Saccharomyces cerevisiae S288C: one gene and its partner. The protein of the gene in region 1 purifies or fractionates together with the protein of each later gene. This does not show direct contact. Each region holds a gene or a part of one and is shown in the gene's direction. Other genes may lie near its edges.

Region 1 (8,511 bases):
ATTAAAAAGGAAGTAACCTCTACTGTGGAGGCACCCAAGAAGGCGAATAAGATAAAGATAAGTTTGAAAGGTGATAAACCTGTTAGAAAAGTGGAAAAACAAATTGTGAAGCCGAAGGTAACTAGCAAACAAAGGAAAGTCAAAAGTCATGTGAACCGCATGGGCAGTTTACCTTTACGGTTTGTTAAGATCCAACAACAACCTAGAGTAATGGTGCATTTGTCATCCGTCCCGTATAGCCAATTCGTTCAAATTACAAAAGTCACATCAAGATCGTTTATGGTTAAGATAAGAACAAAGAATGATGCTAAGAATTGATTGTTTGCTTGAGTCTGAGTAATATCATATTTTATACAAATACATAGACATAAACAAAAGAGGCAAGTAGATAAGGGTATAGCCATATGAGTGTATAAACAAACATTGGGAACAAGAGCAAGACGATGGGGAGTTTCAAATAGGATAGCTATACTGACAACATTCAGTACTCGAAAGATAAACAACCTCCGCCACGACCACACTCTATAAGGCCAAATGTACAAACACATCTTCCCAATATCCGTCACCACGTACTTCAGCATAATTATTCGTCAACCACTCTACAAAACCAAAACCAGGGTTTATAAAATTATACTGTTGCGCGAAGTAGTCCCATATTCCGTGCTGCATTTTGTCCGCGTGCCATTCTTCAGCGAGCAGAGAAGACAAGACATTTTGTTTTACACCGGAGCCAAACTGTGAGTAATATGCTCTAAAAGCCATAAATGAGTTTAAATATTTCTTTGAAGATTTTATAGATGTCTTATTGAACTGTCGAAACTGAGTATTTTGACTTCCAGACGCTATCCTGTGAATTTGGATTTTATTTAAAAATCGAGAGGAAGGAACAGGAATCTGGATATCTTTCTTGAGTGGTCGAATAATATTGAAGCAGCTTGGCCTCACATGCTCAGCTAGACGTTTTTCTTTCAGCTTTTTTGAAACCGCTGTGTTTCTGTATGATTTGGATGCTTTGTTCTTAATTTTGAAAGCAGGCTTCGAAGTAAACATATTGTGAATGTCGTCTATTAAGTTATTATATATGGTTGATACATTTCATAAAAAGTGAAGGTTAAAAGAAGTAGTTAAGAGTTTAAGTTGTTTCATATGATGTACTTTTCTACATTGGGAAGCAATAAATTGCATCCCAAACAAAACCCAGACATCATTAATGTTTTGAAACATAAAATGTTGGAACTTAAAAATATATATAAAGGAGAGATTGAAATCAGCTTAGAAGTGGGCAAGAAAAAAAGGAAGATAAGCAAGAAAAAATGAATAAAATACCCATTAAAGACCTTTTAAATCCACAAATCACAGATGAGTTTAAATCCAGCATACTAGACATAAATAAAAAGCTCTTTTCTATTTGCTGTAATTTACCTAAGTTACCAGAGAGTGTAACAACAGAAGAAGAAGTTGAATTAAGGGATATATTAGGATTCTTATCTAGGGCCAACAAAAACCGTAAGATTAGTGATGAGGAGAAGAAGTTGTTGCAAACAACATCTCAACTCACTACTACCATTACTGTATTACTCAAAGAAATGCGCAGCATAGAAAACGATAGAAGTAATTATCAACTTACACAGAAAAATAAATCGGCGGATGGGTTGGTATTTAATGTGGTAACTCAAGATATGATAAACAAAAGTACTAAACCTTACAGAGGACACCGGTTTACAAAAGAAAATGTCCGAATACTAGAAAGTTGGTTTGCAAAGAACATCGAGAACCCATATCTAGATACCAAGGGCCTAGAGAATCTAATGAAGAATACCAGTTTATCTCGCATTCAAATCAAAAACTGGGTTTCGAATAGAAGAAGAAAAGAAAAAACAATAACAATCGCTCCAGAATTAGCGGACCTCTTGAGCGGTGAGCCTCTGGCAAAGAAGAAAGAATGAGCCCGAAAAACAAATATGTATATATCTGTGTAGAATATATATATATATATTTCGCAAAAATACATAAACAATCAACCCTCTCCTCAGACACTACTAAGATGTTTGTACTGATAGATAATGTCCTCGCCTACCTTCTTGAACAAGACGACCTATTTGTAACCGCACGCTTCGCTATCCAGGGCCAAATCGTCTCAAGAAGAGTTAACAAAATACATATCTCCAACATCACAGACGTCCTTCTACAACAATTCATAAGTCACACACTGCCCTATAATGACAATATCGTCCCAAAAAAAATCCTCGACAGCATGAGAACGGCCGTACGGCAGTTGCTGGAAGCAACTGCCTGTGTCTCTAGAGAATGCCCCCTCGTCAAAAGAAGTCAGGACATAAAAAGAGCAAGAAAACGTCTACTCAGTGACTGGTATAGGCTCGGCGCTGATGCAAACATGGATGCCGTATTACTAGTTGTTAACTCCGCCTGGAGGTTTCTGGCCGTCTGGCGACCCTTCGTAAACTCAATCCAACATGCAACTCAGGAATTGTATCAAAATATCGCCCATTACCTTCTTCATGGCAACGTAAATATACAGAGGGTCACAGCACTAATACAGCTCGTAATGGGACAGGACGATTTACTTTTTAGTATGGATGATGTTCTACAAGAGGTCTTCAGAATACAGCTCTATTTGAATAAGATGCTGCCGCACAACTCTCACAAATGGCAAAAGCCATCCCCCTTTGACTCCGCAAACTTACTACTTAACTTCAGAGACTGGACAACTGACAATGCTCTCCTCCAAGAGTTGCTACTATCCTATCCCACAATTAATAAAAACAAACACAAAAATCACTCCGTCCCTCGTCTAATACAAATCTGGGTAGAGTCTTATTGGCAAGATAGTGAGACAACATTAAAAGATATCCTCAATTTTTGGTACAGTCACTTGGCTGAATATTATGAATACCAAGAACTGTTTGCAGACATAGTTCAGCTGTTTATAAACAAAAAAAGAACGAGGCAATTGAAGATTCATTACATTGGTCTAACTGATAAGGAAATCGAAGAAAATAAACCGCCCCTGGACTACGAAAACTTATTTCTCCAATACGAGATAGACAAAACGAACGCAAATGATGAATTGTGCGGTGCAACTGACCTCAGTGATTTACTTTTCCAATGGAAACAGGGTGAACTTCTAGAAGTCGAAGCCTTCGCTCTAAACGTATCTCCATGGTCACTTGCAAAGACATTGACTCTCTTAGAATCTTCTCTTTACTTGGATATTGAAACAATAGAATTCACAAGACATTTCAAACACAACGATACAACAATTGACTCCGTGTTTACGCTTTCCAACCAGTTATCGTCCTACGTTCTTGAGACAACTTTGCAGCAAACGCACACCATTTCCTACTGGTTACAAGTTGCACTGTCTTGTCTATACTTACGAAACTTAAACTCACTTGCTTCAATCATTACATCATTGCAAAATCATTCAATAGAAAGACTATCTCTCCCGATAGATGTTAAATCAGACCACCTTTTTCAGCGCCTAAAAGTCGTCGTACATCCAAACAACAACTACAACGTTTATAGAAGAACAATTAAACATATTTTCCACAGTCAGCTTCCTTGTGTACCTTTTACATCACTGCTTATCAGGGACATTACCTTCATAAGAGACGGAAACGATACATTCACTAAAGATGGTAATAACGTGAATATGCAAAAGTTCAACCAAATCACAAAGATAGTCGCTTTTGCGCAATATTTACAACAAAAGCAATATGAAGATATACACTGTTCAAATACTACTGCAAGAAGCTTATTAGGGGCTATGATAAAGGTGCACACTTTATATAACGACAACAAAGACAGGGCGTATCAAGTCAGTATAGCTAAGGTTCCAAGGCTTACCTAAAAACAGAACTGTTCAAAGAAAGATGACTTCCTTTTGCTTCTTGTACGCTCACAAATAATTAATATTCATGTTTAGTACTGAAAATTAAGAATACTTGCATAACTACAGTAGATAATATTTTTTGATAAGAAACCAGACGTAAATTAGATGTAATCTTTTACAGATATTACAGTCAACTTAATCAATTACCTAAAAAGGTTTAAGATTGTGCATAGGAAACGTTTCAATTACCGTATCTTTAGGCTACCGCCTCTTTCTTATTTTCCCTTACCCTTTTTTCAATCTAATTAATTGATGATTTCGCACGTGGGAAAAGTAATCCGATGCATTGAAAAATTATTACCAGAAAACAGTGTTTCACACCAAAAAAGCAGTCAGCTCTCAGATAAAGGTGCAGCAAAACTACGGTAAAGGCGGCTATTATTGTGCCTCGAAATGAGATTCTCACACTTTCTCAAATACAACGCTGTCCCTGAATGGCAGAATCATTACCTAGATTATAACGAATTGAAAAATTTGATCTACACATTACAGACAGATGAATTGAAACAAGAAACGCCAACCGGTGACTTAAACGATGACGCTGACTCTCAGACTCCAGGTCCAATCGCTGATATAGAAAGCAACATAGCTGCAGGAGAACCATCTTCATCGAAAAGAAGATTTACACATAAACTCAAGCGTAAGCTCTTTGGTTCTAAAACACCTTCAGGAAGCAAAAGGGGAGACTCCGACGAAAAGGCCATAGATGGGAACAATATTAACGAGGAAACAATTGAGTTAGACGAGTTATCTCCTCAAGGGAAAACCACCTCTTTCAATAAGAATTTTATACGTAAGAAATTCTTTGAATCACGCAGCTCATCTGTGAGTAGCGAGGGAAAGACGCTCTTCAGTTCTTATGATACATTCGTAACTAACCTGAGCGACGAGAAATTGAAAGTAGATGATTTCTACAAAAGAATGGAAGCTAAGTTCTATGAAAGATTTGACCACTTGATTAATGATTTGGAGAAGGAAGGCATTGTAACAAGATTGAATGAAACTTTCAATCCTGAAATTCAAGCATTGCCTCCTTTAAGAGAAATTATTTCTGGTACATCAGAGACACATTCATCTAATAACCCATTTGAAATACACTCTTCAAACATCGACAGTGAATTGAGAAATAGGTTTGATTACAGCGAAGAAGAAATGGATGAAGATGATGACGTTGACGTGTTTGCTGACACTACCGACAATACCGCCCTCTTGAATTATTCGCAATTTAACATTAAATCTCAGAAAAAGTCATTATTAAAACAGACAATAATAAATCTTTACATAGACCTTTGCCAGTTGAAATCTTTTATCGAATTGAACAGAATGGGTTTCAGTAAAATTACTAAGAAGTCTGATAAAGTATTGCACATGAACACTAGGCAAGAATTAATAGAAAGTGAAGAATTTTTCAAAGACACCTACATCTTCCAGCATGAAACTTTAAGCAGTTTAAACAGTAAAATTGCACAACTTATTGAATTTTATGCTGTTCTCATGGGTCAGCCTGGGAACGTAGATTCATGCAAGCAAGAGTTAAAGTCGTACCTGCACGACCACATTGTTTGGGAAAGAAGCAACACATGGAAAGACATGTTGGGCCTCTCTTCGCAAAATAACGATATAATAACTATTGAAGATGAAGCTGAGAAACTTATGCAAGAAAAGCTTCAAATTGAATATTTCAAGTATCCATTGCCTAAGCCAATTAATTTGAAGTTTACTAAAATTGAAAATTTGGCAGTTCCTAAGCTATTTTTTGGGAAAAGAGCAATGAAAATAGGCTTCATTATCATTGTCACAGGTGTTTTGTTGGGTGTTAAAACTTTCAATGACCCTGTCGAACACCGGTGTATGGCATTGGTAGAATGCTGTGCTTTCTTATGGGCTAGTGAAGCCATTCCATTACACATCACAGGTTTATTGGTTCCCCTTCTAACTGTCCTTTTTAGGGTACTAAAAGACGATGACGGTAAGGTAATGGGAGCAGCAGCTGCCTCTACAGAAATCTTAGGTACAATGTGGTCGTCAACAATTATGATTTTATTAGCAGGTTTCACATTGGGTGAAGCCTTGTCGCAATATAACGTTGCGAAAGTTTTGGCATCGTGGTTATTGGCCCTTGCAGGTACCAAGCCAAGAAATGTCCTTTTAATGGCAATGAGTGTTGTATTCTTTCTTTCGATGTGGATTTCCAACGTTGCCTCCCCAGTATTGACATATTCTCTATTAACACCCTTACTAGATCCGCTGGACTACACTTCACCGTTTGCTAAGGCATTAGTCATGGGTGTTGCACTTTCGGCAGATATTGGTGGTATGGCTTCACCTATTTCTTCGCCACAGAATATCATCTCCATGCAGTACTTAAAACCTTATGGAATCGGCTGGGGGCAATTTTTTGCTGTCGCTCTGCCTACAGGTATTCTATCGATGCTGTGCTCCTGGGCCTTGATGATACTCACCTTTAAAATAGGCAAAACTAAACTGGAAAAATTTAAACCAATAAGGACCAGATTTACTATAAAGCAATATTTTATCATCATTGTAACTATTGCTACTATTCTTCTATGGTGTGTAGAGTCACAAATAGAAAGTGCTTTTGGATCGTCCGGTGAAATTGCAGTAATACCGATAGTCCTGTTTTTTGGTACAGGTCTACTATCAACAAAGGATTTCAACACATTCCCTTGGTCAATTGTTGTTCTTGCTATGGGTGGTATAGCCCTTGGTAAGGCAGTTTCATCTTCAGGCTTGTTGGTAACTATTGCAAGAGCATTACAAAAGAAAATTCAGAACGATGGTGTTTTTGCTATCTTATGTATTTTCGGTATTTTAATGTTAGTTGTGGGCACTTTTGTCTCACATACTGTGTCAGCAATCATCATTATTCCCTTGGTGCAAGAAGTTGGTGACAAATTATCCGATCCAAAGGCAGCTCCAATTCTTGTGTTCGGTTGCGCCTTGTTAGCCTCATGCGGTATGGGGTTGGCTTCATCTGGATTTCCAAACGTTACTGCTATTTCTATGACCGATAAAAAGGGTAATAGATGGCTAACTGTAGGCGCTTTTATCTCCAGAGGTGTTCCTGCTTCGTTGTTAGCGTTTGTCTGCGTAATTACTCTCGGTTATGGTATTAGTTCTTCCGTCTTAAAAGGTAGCACTTAAACTGCCCTCATGTAATTACATTTCTTATTACTGCATTCTTTGTACCTTTTTAAACTTTATATATATGACGAAAACTAAAATTTAACAAACTAAAAGTAAAAAATTGCAGTAGATTTTATGCATCTTTCTGAACATCTTTATACAGTGGCATGCTTTCAGCAGCACCTTTTCTTTGAATGGTCAATGAACTAGCTAATGTAGAGAACTTTATAGCCGTAGACAAGGTCTCTCCTTGATACAATTGAGTAACCAAACCGCCCAGGAAAGTATCTCCAGCTCCTGTAGTATCAACAACCGAAACATTTTGAATAGCCGGAAGGAATTGTACTTCAGGGCTTTCGTGCGAACAGAAAAGCACCCCTCTCGAACCCAAAGTCATAACCACAATTCCTCTTTTCTTTCGATTCATGAGTTTTTCATACAAAAGCTCACAAATTTTACGATATTCTCCTAAAAAGTCGTCCTTTATCTTCTCCCTTATTTCTTCAACAAGTTCATTATCAAATACACTTTCCACGATTTGAAGACCCTCAATTTCATTAACGACCAAAAGGTCTACCAACTCCCAATCTTTCTTAGGCATGGCCTTGAAAGGTGAGGGGTTATATACGATCTGAAAATTCGGCCTGTTCGCATGTATCCATTTAATAATGGAAAGAGGATCAGGAATTTCGTGTTGAAAAACAACATACTCTTCTTCCTCCTTGCCCTCTGGAAAAATTTCACACAACTGTTTCGGGTCATAAATAGTCTTGCTGTTAGCACCTTCTACAATCAATATCCTATTTTGGCCACCAGCTTTCTCTTCAATTAGTATGGTAGCGGTACCCGTATTAATGCCTTCGTAAGTACCGACGTGAGTGATATCGACTCCGCAATCGGATAAAGTGTCCTTCAATTGTTTACCAAATGTATCATTTCCAACATTACCAATCATTCGAACACTATATCTGCTGCTGGGGTTTTTTAATTTACCAATGGCCGCAGCTTGGTTCAATCCCTTACCACCAGCATGTGTTTCGAAGTGGTTAGCCCTGAAAGTTTCTCCAGCGTTAGGTAATCTATCCGTAAATGTGTCCAAATCATAGTTTAGAGAACCTATTACTGTAATACCCATCTTTGAAATATGCTGTTGGAACTTTGGGATGAAAGACAACAAACATCTTATTGGCTATTTTTATCCTATTTGCTTCATGATTGTTCTGGCCACCTTCGGATATAAACCCTTTTATTCCCGTTTGATCTGGAGAGATTTTCAAATCACAGTCGACGAAAGTATAAGATTTTTCTTTCTTTTTTTATGACAGAGTATATAACAATAATGGACAAATTAGACGATGAGTATTGTTACACAAATAAGTTTGACAGTAGTTTCACAGGCATCTAATATTGGAAATGGCTGAAAGTACCACGTTAGAAACTATTGAGATACA
Region 2 (9,837 bases), on another chromosome or scaffold:
ATTTTTTCAACTTCTAGAAGGATGACTAACTATTGTTTCCATTTGCTAGCATGGTAAATTAATACATTTTTGAATTTGCTGCTAGGGTACAATACCATGCAATGTTTATAATATAAATCAAAGTGACAGAGATTCCTAAAAGCTAAAACAAATCCATTGATAATATAATAGTAGGTTGGTCAATTCACCGCAGATTCAATGTAAGTATTGATACTCCATAAATGTTAACTTCAGGTTGATATTCGTTACAAAAATCTTAGTTTGCTTTTCATTACTATCTGAACGGAATGCTCAACATTTTTCTTATTCTACAATTGTACAATGTCACGTAAACAGTTTGATTTGTGTATTTACAGTGGAAACATTTTACTTGTTGGCAATAGTACATGCGCAGATAATCAAAAACCATTGTTTCCGACATTATTTCTGACAATTGCTTGAATTTGCTGAACACTTTTCGAGGTACATTCTGATAAAGAGTGCATTATTAGTTATTTAGAGTATATTAAGACATCTTCTCGAAGATATATAAATTCGTAAAGGAAACAAAAATTTCGGGATAACAAAAAAGTTTCTTCTTTTTACGTATTAAATGGTCTATTCATCGATCCTATTTCACTATCAATCCTATTATATTATCAACTTTTGCATTTCTGCTTCCACCAAAGTCGACGGCTGTTTCTCATCGTTTATGTAATATCATAACGCATGTATGACATTATATCAGTGGCATGAGCGCTAGTCCATGAAATAGGAGTTTAACTCCAACATACGGAACATTCGCATTATCGCACACGTAAGACTCGATATATTAAGGAAGGAATTTCCGAGTTGGATTAATAAAGGAAAAATAAAATATAGTGTTGGAAATATAGTTGCCTCAGAATAATATCAATATAATATTAAAACGTATATAGTTAGATACCCGGTATTATTCGAGTACGCATTAATTCAGCAGTATGACTTTCTGTGCCTGCTTATATATTGTAACCGTATGTTGTTCTACCTTAAAAATTTGCTAAATTGAAGGAATTGACTATCGTCACTGAAGAGTATTCGTATTATGGTATTATGATACATTGTCTAAAAAAAGGATACCATTTTTCTTCAATAGAACAAGAAGAGAATCTAAGGACACCATTTCGAGAAATAGTTTACACAGTATATCCAATAACTCCAATAAACTACTTTCCTATACAAATTTCCGATGGTTGGATTAATAGTAAAACTTCTATACTTCTTTCATCCATCAAGAAATTAAGGTAAACATCTGGTAAGCACTATCCAACTTTTTTCTGTTACACATATGGTTTTTCTGCAATCATTTCTTCCCACTTTGCATGAGTAAGTGTCCCATTTTGTCTCAAGCCGTTAATCTTGAAACCGCAGGCGGAGTTACTTGATGCGGTATTTTACATGCCTTTTTTCACTGCAAGAAAAAAATGAAACACTTATTTACACGATTTTCAGGATAGTTTACGCTGGTGAGTATGCAGAACAGTTAACACCTTTGTTTTATCCTTTTGTGTCTTGATTATATAATATAAATGTGCCTGGCGTTAAAAAATAGCAACTGAATAAGTTTTTTTACTGATGTCCTTGAGAGAAGTAACTAATTATGAAGTCTCGTTTTACATCCCGTTGTCTTACAGCAACAGGACTCATAAAGTTTGTAAACTGCCAAACGGAATTTTAGCATTAATAATATCGGATCCAACAGATACTTCAAGCTCATGCTCACTGACTGTTTGCACAGGTTCCCATAACGATCCAAAGGATATTGCCGGTTTGGCGCACCTTTGTGAGCACATGATTCTTTCTGCCGGTTCCAAAAAATACCCTGATCCTGGTTTATTCCACACACTAATCGCAAAAAACAACGGCTCTCAAAATGCCTTTACCACAGGGGAGCAAACGACTTTTTATTTTGAATTGCCCAATACTCAAAATAACGGCGAATTTACATTTGAATCTATCTTAGATGTGTTTGCCTCATTCTTCAAAGAACCGCTCTTCAACCCTTTACTGATAAGCAAGGAGATATATGCAATACAAAGTGAGCATGAGGGAAACATATCATCAACCACAAAAATATTCTACCACGCAGCAAGAATATTGGCCAATCCCGACCATCCTTTCAGTCGCTTTTCCACTGGGAACATACACTCGTTATCTAGCATTCCACAACTGAAAAAAATAAAACTAAAGAGCTCATTAAACACTTACTTCGAAAATAATTTTTTTGGGGAGAATATAACCTTGTGCATAAGGGGACCGCAGTCTGTTAATATTCTTACGAAACTAGCTCTATCAAAATTTGGCGATATAAAACCCAAAAGCGCTGTAAAGGAAAGGAGTATATCGATTAGGACGAGGTCATTTCGAAGATCGAAGTCTTTAAAAAAACGCCAAGATTCTTCCAAAAACGACTACAGTGACTTGAAAACCTTTAAAATACTGAACACAACGTGGGAAAAAAAATACAAAAATACGATGTGTTTTCAACAATTTCCTGAATGCAATTCGATATTTATCAATTCAAATAAGGTACCTATAATGAGACTTCTCTTTCCTGTTAGCGATAAAAACACTCGGTTTACAAAGGATGACATTAAAATATACAGTCATCTTTGGTGTGAACTTTTCGGCGATGAGTCTCCAGGATCTTTGAGCTATTACTTAGCTTCAAAAGGCTGGCTCACAGGCTGTTTTGCCTTTACCTCAGAATTCGCTATTGGTGACATAGGATTAATTTTGGAATTAGAACTGACAAACAGTGGCTGGGAAAATATTAAGAGAATTACGACAATAGTACTTAATAGACTCTTGCCTTCCTTTTACGTAATGAACATCGATTACTTAATCACTTTTTTGAAAGAACAGAATTTGATCGACCTCGTTAGCTTTCTGTACCAAAGTTCAGAGGATCTTCCAATGGAAGAGTGCTCAAAATTAAGCGGTATTCTTCAGGACGATTTAGAATGTTTAACCCCCCCTAATATATTCAAAGGATTTAAATCTCTTATAGAAATAGATGATCCCAACATCGAAAAATATGAAAACACAAAGGCCAATATACAATGGTGGACAGGGCAAGCTATTAAGTTCCAAAATTTTTTAAAATCTTTCATGAATCATGACAACATGCGCCTTTTACTCTTAGGGAATATAAAATCTGGTAATATATTTGATAAAATGAAAAATAAAAGTGATATATGCACCGATTTTTTCTATGAATTTGAGTATTATACGGCAAACGTTCATCTAGCAAGTGATAATAAATTTCATTCAAACAGCTCGTATGAATTTAATTTTCCCACAGGTAATCTTTTTTTACCAGATTGCGTCAGCGATCCTTTAAAACTACAACAGCTCTTCTTAGAATGCTCGTTAAAATCGAAATTTGCTACGCTTAGACCTCAAATTTATAGTGAGCCCACTAGGACAAAGCCTCAATTAGTCAGTGAGAACCAGAATTATGAGATGTGGATCTTAAAAGAAGACCCAAATTTTGCCTCAGACAATAAATCCGTCGTATCATTTGAAGTTTTGGGGTTAGGCATCAAACCTAGTCCGGAGGCAACAATCCACCTGGAAGTACTAGCACAGGCATTATTTATCATCACCTCTTCATTCCTTTATCCCGCTCTGAGAATTGGTTACACATATGAGATTGCCTCATCTAGTAAGGGCAACGTAACACTGCGATTTACTATTTCTGGATTCCCTGAGGGTGTTTTCACAATAGTAAAGACGTTCGTGGATACGCTAAAACTTATTGCAACAGATCCAACGTTTCTTTCTAAAGATACCTTGAGAAAGGCAAGGATTTTAGTTAGAAATAAATACAAGAACGCGTCATCGGACAACTGCGTGAAGCTAGCTAGCGTTGGATTGCTGATTGTTTTAGAGAAATATATATGGACTTTAGAGGATAGAATTAATGCATTAGAGCTTACCGAGTTGGAATCCTTCGAAAAATTTTGTTTTTTATTCTGGAGGAATCCTAAACATTTGGTCTTGTTCATGCAGGGAAGCCTTGAATATGCTGACGCAATCAACCGTTACTTAAATAACAATTTTACGCAGCACCTAAAAATCAGCAATGAAGGGAGCAAACCGACCATACGTCTCTACCCTCCTCCCAGTACAAAAGATCTAGATCAAGGCACAAATGCCTTTATATCATATAATGGTCACCAGGATGATCCCAACAATAGTATTGTGTATTTTATTCAGACTGCACAAAGAGATGACATCAAAAATCTGACACTAACCTTTCTTACCGAATATCTATTTTCACTAACGCTAGTGCCTGATCTAAGAAATAAAAAGCAAATTGGGTACATTGTTTTGGGAGGACTCAGGGTTTTAACAGACACTGTTGGGATTCATATAACCGTAATGTCTGGCAGCTCGGGGCACAATCTGGAAACTAGGATCAATGAGTACTTATCTTACTTGCAGCTGCAGGTGCTAAATAGATTCACCGAGTTTGATTTTCGAAGGATACTTCTAGAGCCGTTCTTAAATCTTTTAAAACAGAACAGTACGAAACAGTTTGAAGGGTCGGCTGGTCCTGTAGACCTATTAAATGAGATAGTGGCAAATGTGCAAAATGGTGATAATTACACTCTCAACAATAAACAAATGAGACAACATAGGAAGGTAAGAAATAAAATTGCGGAAGGAAGGCTTAATTTTCAAGAAGATCATGAAATGATTGATATCTCATTTTTGCAAAAATTAACTCTAAAGAAATATTTAGCATTCTTCGAGTCCAAAATCTCTATATATTCCGCTCAAAGAAGTAAGCTATCAATAATGATCACAAGTCCAATGGCAGAGAAGGAAATTGCAAGCAGGAAAATGTTCCTTCAGCTAGAGGCCTTTCTGAAAATAAACGGATTCGCCATAAAAAATGAAGACTTGAAGAAAATTGTCGAACATTCAAAGGGAAATCCTATTTTACTTGTAAAGAACCTTTTTACTTATTTTCGTAGGAGAAATGAAGTTTTCAAGCTCGGAACCGTTGTATTGCAGGAAATATTGAAAATCATCGGAATGAATCTTAAGCAGAGATACGGCTCTATATTAGGGTTTTCTTCCCAAGATGGTGAAGGACAAGAAATAGAAAAATTTTGGAACAACGACACAAGTCCGATTGTTCCTCTTCAGGAGCTTCCTGAACCAAACTTTTTCCGCAAGGCCGCATTTTGAACCGTATTTTGCTCGTTCCAGCCTTTCCACGTTTTTGTTATCTAAGCAACTTGGCACATTTCCCTACTATACTACAAACCGATACGTAAATACTTCCCTAAATAGCATATGAATTATTCAGTAATTTTTAAGGATCGAAACTGCACCTCAACTATTCGTTACTGTGGTTATGTTCTCATGTATTGATGCAAATCATGGGATATTTGCTCAAGACGACGGTAAAATGAGCAAAAATGGCACGATCCTGAAAAGAGCACTTTTCAAGATTCGGGCTACAAAATGCAACATAAAAAATGTTGTATTGTCATCTCGAGAGGGTCTTGTATGTTTTATTCCTCTTATGATTAGTTCACATTAGTAAAACAGATACGCAGTGTGCTCTTAATAAACAACTACTCCATAGCTTTATTTGCATAACAAAACTTTTAAGCACAAACTTAAACAGGTGGAGTAATAGTTCGGCGGCGACTCAAATTACATTTGTTGGAAGAATCGAATAGAAAATAAAAAAAAGTGTATTATATTTGACATTCAAAATGGAAGGTATGAATATGGGTAGCAGCATGAATATGGACGCCATGTCTAGTGCATCCAAGACAGTAGCATCGAGTATGGCGTCGATGAGCATGGATGCGATGTCTAGTGCCAGCAAAACGATATTATCGAGCATGTCATCGATGAGCATGGAAGCGATGTCCAGTGCGAGCAAAACGTTGGCGTCGACTATGTCGTCAATGGCAAGTATGTCGATGGGAAGCAGTTCAATGTCAGGTATGTCTATGTCGATGAGCAGTACACCAACAAGCTCCGCCAGTGCACAGACAACTTCTGATTCTAGCATGTCAGGCATGTCAGGTATGTCATCGTCTGATAACAGTAGCTCTTCAGGGATGGATATGGACATGAGTATGGGAATGAACTATTATCTGACTCCCACATATAAAAACTATCCAGTTTTGTTTCACCATTTGCATGCAAACAATAGTGGTAAGGCTTTCGGTATTTTCTTATTATTTGTTGTGGCTGCTTTCGTCTACAAACTACTGCTTTTCGTTAGTTGGTGCCTTGAAGTTCACTGGTTTAAAAAATGGGACAAGCAAAATAAATATTCCACTTTACCTTCAGCAAACTCCAAAGACGAAGGAAAACATTATGACACAGAGAATAATTTTGAAATTCAAGGTTTACCTAAGCTGCCAAATTTATTAAGCGATATATTTGTTCCATCTTTAATGGATCTCTTTCATGACATTATAAGGGCGTTCTTAGTATTTACCTCTACGATGATTATTTATATGTTGATGCTTGCTACCATGTCTTTTGTTTTAACATACGTTTTTGCTGTAATTACTGGGTTAGCTTTATCGGAAGTCTTCTTCAATAGATGCAAAATAGCCATGCTAAAGAGGTGGGACATCCAAAGAGAAATTCAGAAAGCGAAGAGCTGTCCTGGCTTCGGTAACTGCCAATGTGGTAGACATCCCGAACCCAGCCCTGATCCAATTGCTGTTGCCGATACCACTTCCGGAAGTGATCAAAGTACTCGCCTGGAAAAGAACAACGAATCTAAAGTTGCGATTTCCGAAAATAATCAAAAGAAAACACCTACACAAGAAGAGGGATGTAATTGTGCCACAGACTCAGGAAAGAATCAAGCAAACATAGAGCGCGACATCCTTGAGAATTCCAAGTTGCAGGAACAGTCCGGGAATATGGATCAAAACTTACTTCCGGCCGAAAAATTCACTCATAACTAATAACTAGACAAGGTTCGTCCACCTATATCTTCTTCTTCCAATATCTCTATACATCAAAATAAGAATATCGTTCATTTCTCAGAAGCTCAAAAAAAATCTCAAAATGGATACTTCTAATGCCCTCATGAAGAGGAAAGAAAATAATAGACACAGCGACCTTCCTATAAATAACAGACTTGTATATAGTTGAATGTCTAAGTAATTTTAATTCAAAAATCCTTAACTATATTACCACCTTGCAATAATAAGAGTGAAGTGTTAAAAATGATACTTGCTTGCCTTCATCGAGTTACCGTTGTCTCCCACGTTTCTTTTTTCTCGTTGGACAGAATTGCTTCCGCGCGAACATTTTCCACTTTTATTTGAAAGAGGACATTATTCAGATCGTGTCAGTCTCATCTAATTGGCAAAGTGGCAATTTTCGAAATAACAAGATAACTGCATAAAGTAACACTTGTCGAATTGAAAGTATTTTGCCAGTGATATTTAGGTTCGAGTAAAGAAAATTTCATAAAGAAATCAACAAGACACAATGCTGAAATACAGGTCTTTGCCAATCAAGAGAGCAATCCATCATCCGGCACCAGGAATTACTCCAATTTCTCCCCGTATTATGGTAAGCAGGTTGAGAGTAATACCATCTTTTAATTTGAAGTTCAATCGTTGGAACTCTTCGGTGCCAGAAAGCTCGAAAAAGGAGTTAAAAACGACAGACGGAAACCAAGAAAGTGCGAGTAAGGTCTCTCCAGTAAAAGAGAAGGAAAAAGTACCCTTTAAGGTTAAGATGCAAAAAGCCCTTCGTCATTATTGGGATGGTTCCAAACTTTTGGGGTTGGAGATAAAAATTTCTTCCAAATTGCTCATGAAGAGTGCTGCAGGCTACCCATTGACGAGAAGAGAAAATTTACAACTGAAAAGAACTACTCAAGATATCGTTCGGTTGGTTCCATTTGCTGCTTTCCTCATTATACCCTTTGCTGAACTTCTTCTTCCATTTGCATTAAAGTTATTCCCCAATTTACTTCCTTCTACTTATGAATCAAGTAAAAAACGCGAGAATAAACTAGAAAATTTAAGAAACACAAGGAAGTTAATGTCTGAAATCATAAAGAATAACAAGTCCCATTTTAAACCTAATAATATTTCCGAGGAACAAAAAGCTTTGTTTAACAGGTTCTACACACATGTCCGTGCTACAGGAGTGCCGGAGTCTCGTCAACAGCTAATCGAAGTAGCTAGATTATTCACTGATGATACTGTATTGGATAATGTGACAAGACCTTACTTGATTGCATTAGCGAAGTATATGAATTTGCAACCATTCGGCACTGATGTGATGCTACGTTACCGTATCAGATACAAAATGCTTGAATTGAAAAAAGATGATCTATCTATATATTACGAGGATGCAGAACAACTCTCCCTCTCTGAATTGAAAACAGCATGCGCCTCCAGAGGTATTAGAAGTGTAGACGTAGAGCCTAGCGTGTTATATTCGAATCTAAGATTGTGGCTGAACATGAGGCTCAAGGATAAGATCCCATCCACGCTGTTAATCATGGCTACTGCCTATAACTACGGTAATGTGCAATCAAAGGAGTCATTGTACGACGCATTATGTGACGTTTTAATCGGTATCCCTGATGAACTATACCATGAGGTTAAAGTAAACGTCGTTAAGGAAGATGAGGCATCCGCTAAGCAAAAATTGAAACAATTGAGGGAGCAAGAAGAAATTATGAAGGAAGAAGAGCAGCAAGAAGAGAACGCCATTGTGAGCGTCAAGGATGAGTTGAGCTTGGACGACCAAGACAAGAACATAGATGCGGCTGCTCCAGACGTAAAACCGCATGACACCAAGCCTATCGGAGAAGCCGCTGCCATCAAAGAGAAGTAACCCAGTTTTCACCTGGCCCATTAAACCGCACGATACACTCTCCGCTACTCTCGCCAACATTCTTTTTATACATACTTGCACGAAACTGCTTTTTTAGCAATGAAAAGAAAATGTAGTGAACTCTACTATAGATTTTGTACATAAGATAAATAAAATACACTACTATATGAAATTTTTGTTTGTAAAGCTGGTGTTTGCACACATAGATAGTATCAACGTAGGGGATCAACACATGCACGACTACTAGAAGCCTTACCCGTAACTTCTTGCATATCTGCTTTGCCAATATTTTTTTTTAAAGTTATTTCTTAAACTACTCCTCGTGCTGTCCACATTTTTACCCGTTAGTTGTTAGACAAAAAAAAAGCGCAACTATCTCCCTTTTGCGCATCTCCCAAGTCCTTTACCAAATATATTAGAAGAATGACACCCGGCCGAGACGGATGAAGCGGCCGTCTCGGCCGCCTTAGGAAGGGATCTGCGTTTTTGTTCGTTAATGAGGTAATCAAGGGCGTACTTGGTAGAACGGTACTAAGTTAATCATTGCTGCTCTCCCTCAAAATTACTCAAAGAATAGAGTGTCTATTGAACCGTAGAATAGGCATTTATTATATAAGGGGTTGTCAATTTACCAAATTTTTTACTTCATCTCAGGACTCTCTCTTAAAATTATTTTCCTTGCCATTTTCTATGTTATGTAGAATAGAAAAACAGGTACATATTAACTAAAATATACACCAAAAAAAGTAAAAATAAAATGTCTGTCGCCGATTTGAAAAACAACATCCACAAGTTAGATACTGGCTATGGTTTAATGAGTTTGACTTGGAGAGCCGAGCCTATCCCTCAGTCGCAGGCTTTCGAGGCCATGCACAGAGTGGTTGAGTTATCCAGAGAACGTGGGCACAAGGCCTTTTTCAACGTTGGTGAATTCTATGGTCCCGATTTTATTAATTTGTCGTA

What was found.
Region 2: the proteins of BUD5 (region 1) and AXL1 purify together in Saccharomyces cerevisiae (affinity purification with western blotting; 3 studies listed by BioGRID). This does not show direct contact.

What each region holds. Positions count from the first base shown.
Region 1 is NC_001135.5:192,981-201,491, reverse strand, and holds BUD5 (Ras family guanine nucleotide exchange factor BUD5), read left to right. Parts: upstream 1-1,942; coding exon 1,943-3,871; downstream 3,872-8,511. Other genes in the region: transcription initiation factor TFIID subunit TAF2, read left to right, coding at 1-318; YCR041W (uncharacterized protein), read right to left, coding at 249-581; MATALPHA1 (transcriptional co-activator mating type protein alpha), read right to left, coding at 523-1,050; MATALPHA2 (homeodomain mating type protein alpha2), read left to right, coding at 1,314-1,946; PHO87 (SPX domain-containing inorganic phosphate transporter), read left to right, coding at 4,307-7,078; RBK1 (putative ribokinase), read right to left, coding at 7,194-8,195; exosome non-catalytic core subunit RRP43, read left to right, coding at 8,474-8,511. UniProt on the Saccharomyces cerevisiae protein: GDP-GTP exchange factor (GEF) for the small GTPase BUD1/RSR1. Regulates the activity of BUD1 together with BUD2 which is a GTPase-activating protein (GAP) of BUD1. Required to produce both the axial and bipolar patterns of bud site selection.
Region 2 is NC_001148.4:780,452-790,288, forward strand, and holds AXL1 (Axl1p), read left to right. Parts: upstream 1-1,593; coding exon 1,594-5,220; downstream 5,221-9,837. Other genes in the region: high-affinity Cu transporter CTR1, read left to right, coding at 5,757-6,977; YLH47 (Ylh47p), read left to right, coding at 7,510-8,874; YPR127W (pyridoxine 4-dehydrogenase), read left to right, coding at 9,632-9,837. UniProt on the Saccharomyces cerevisiae protein: Probable protease. Involved in axial budding.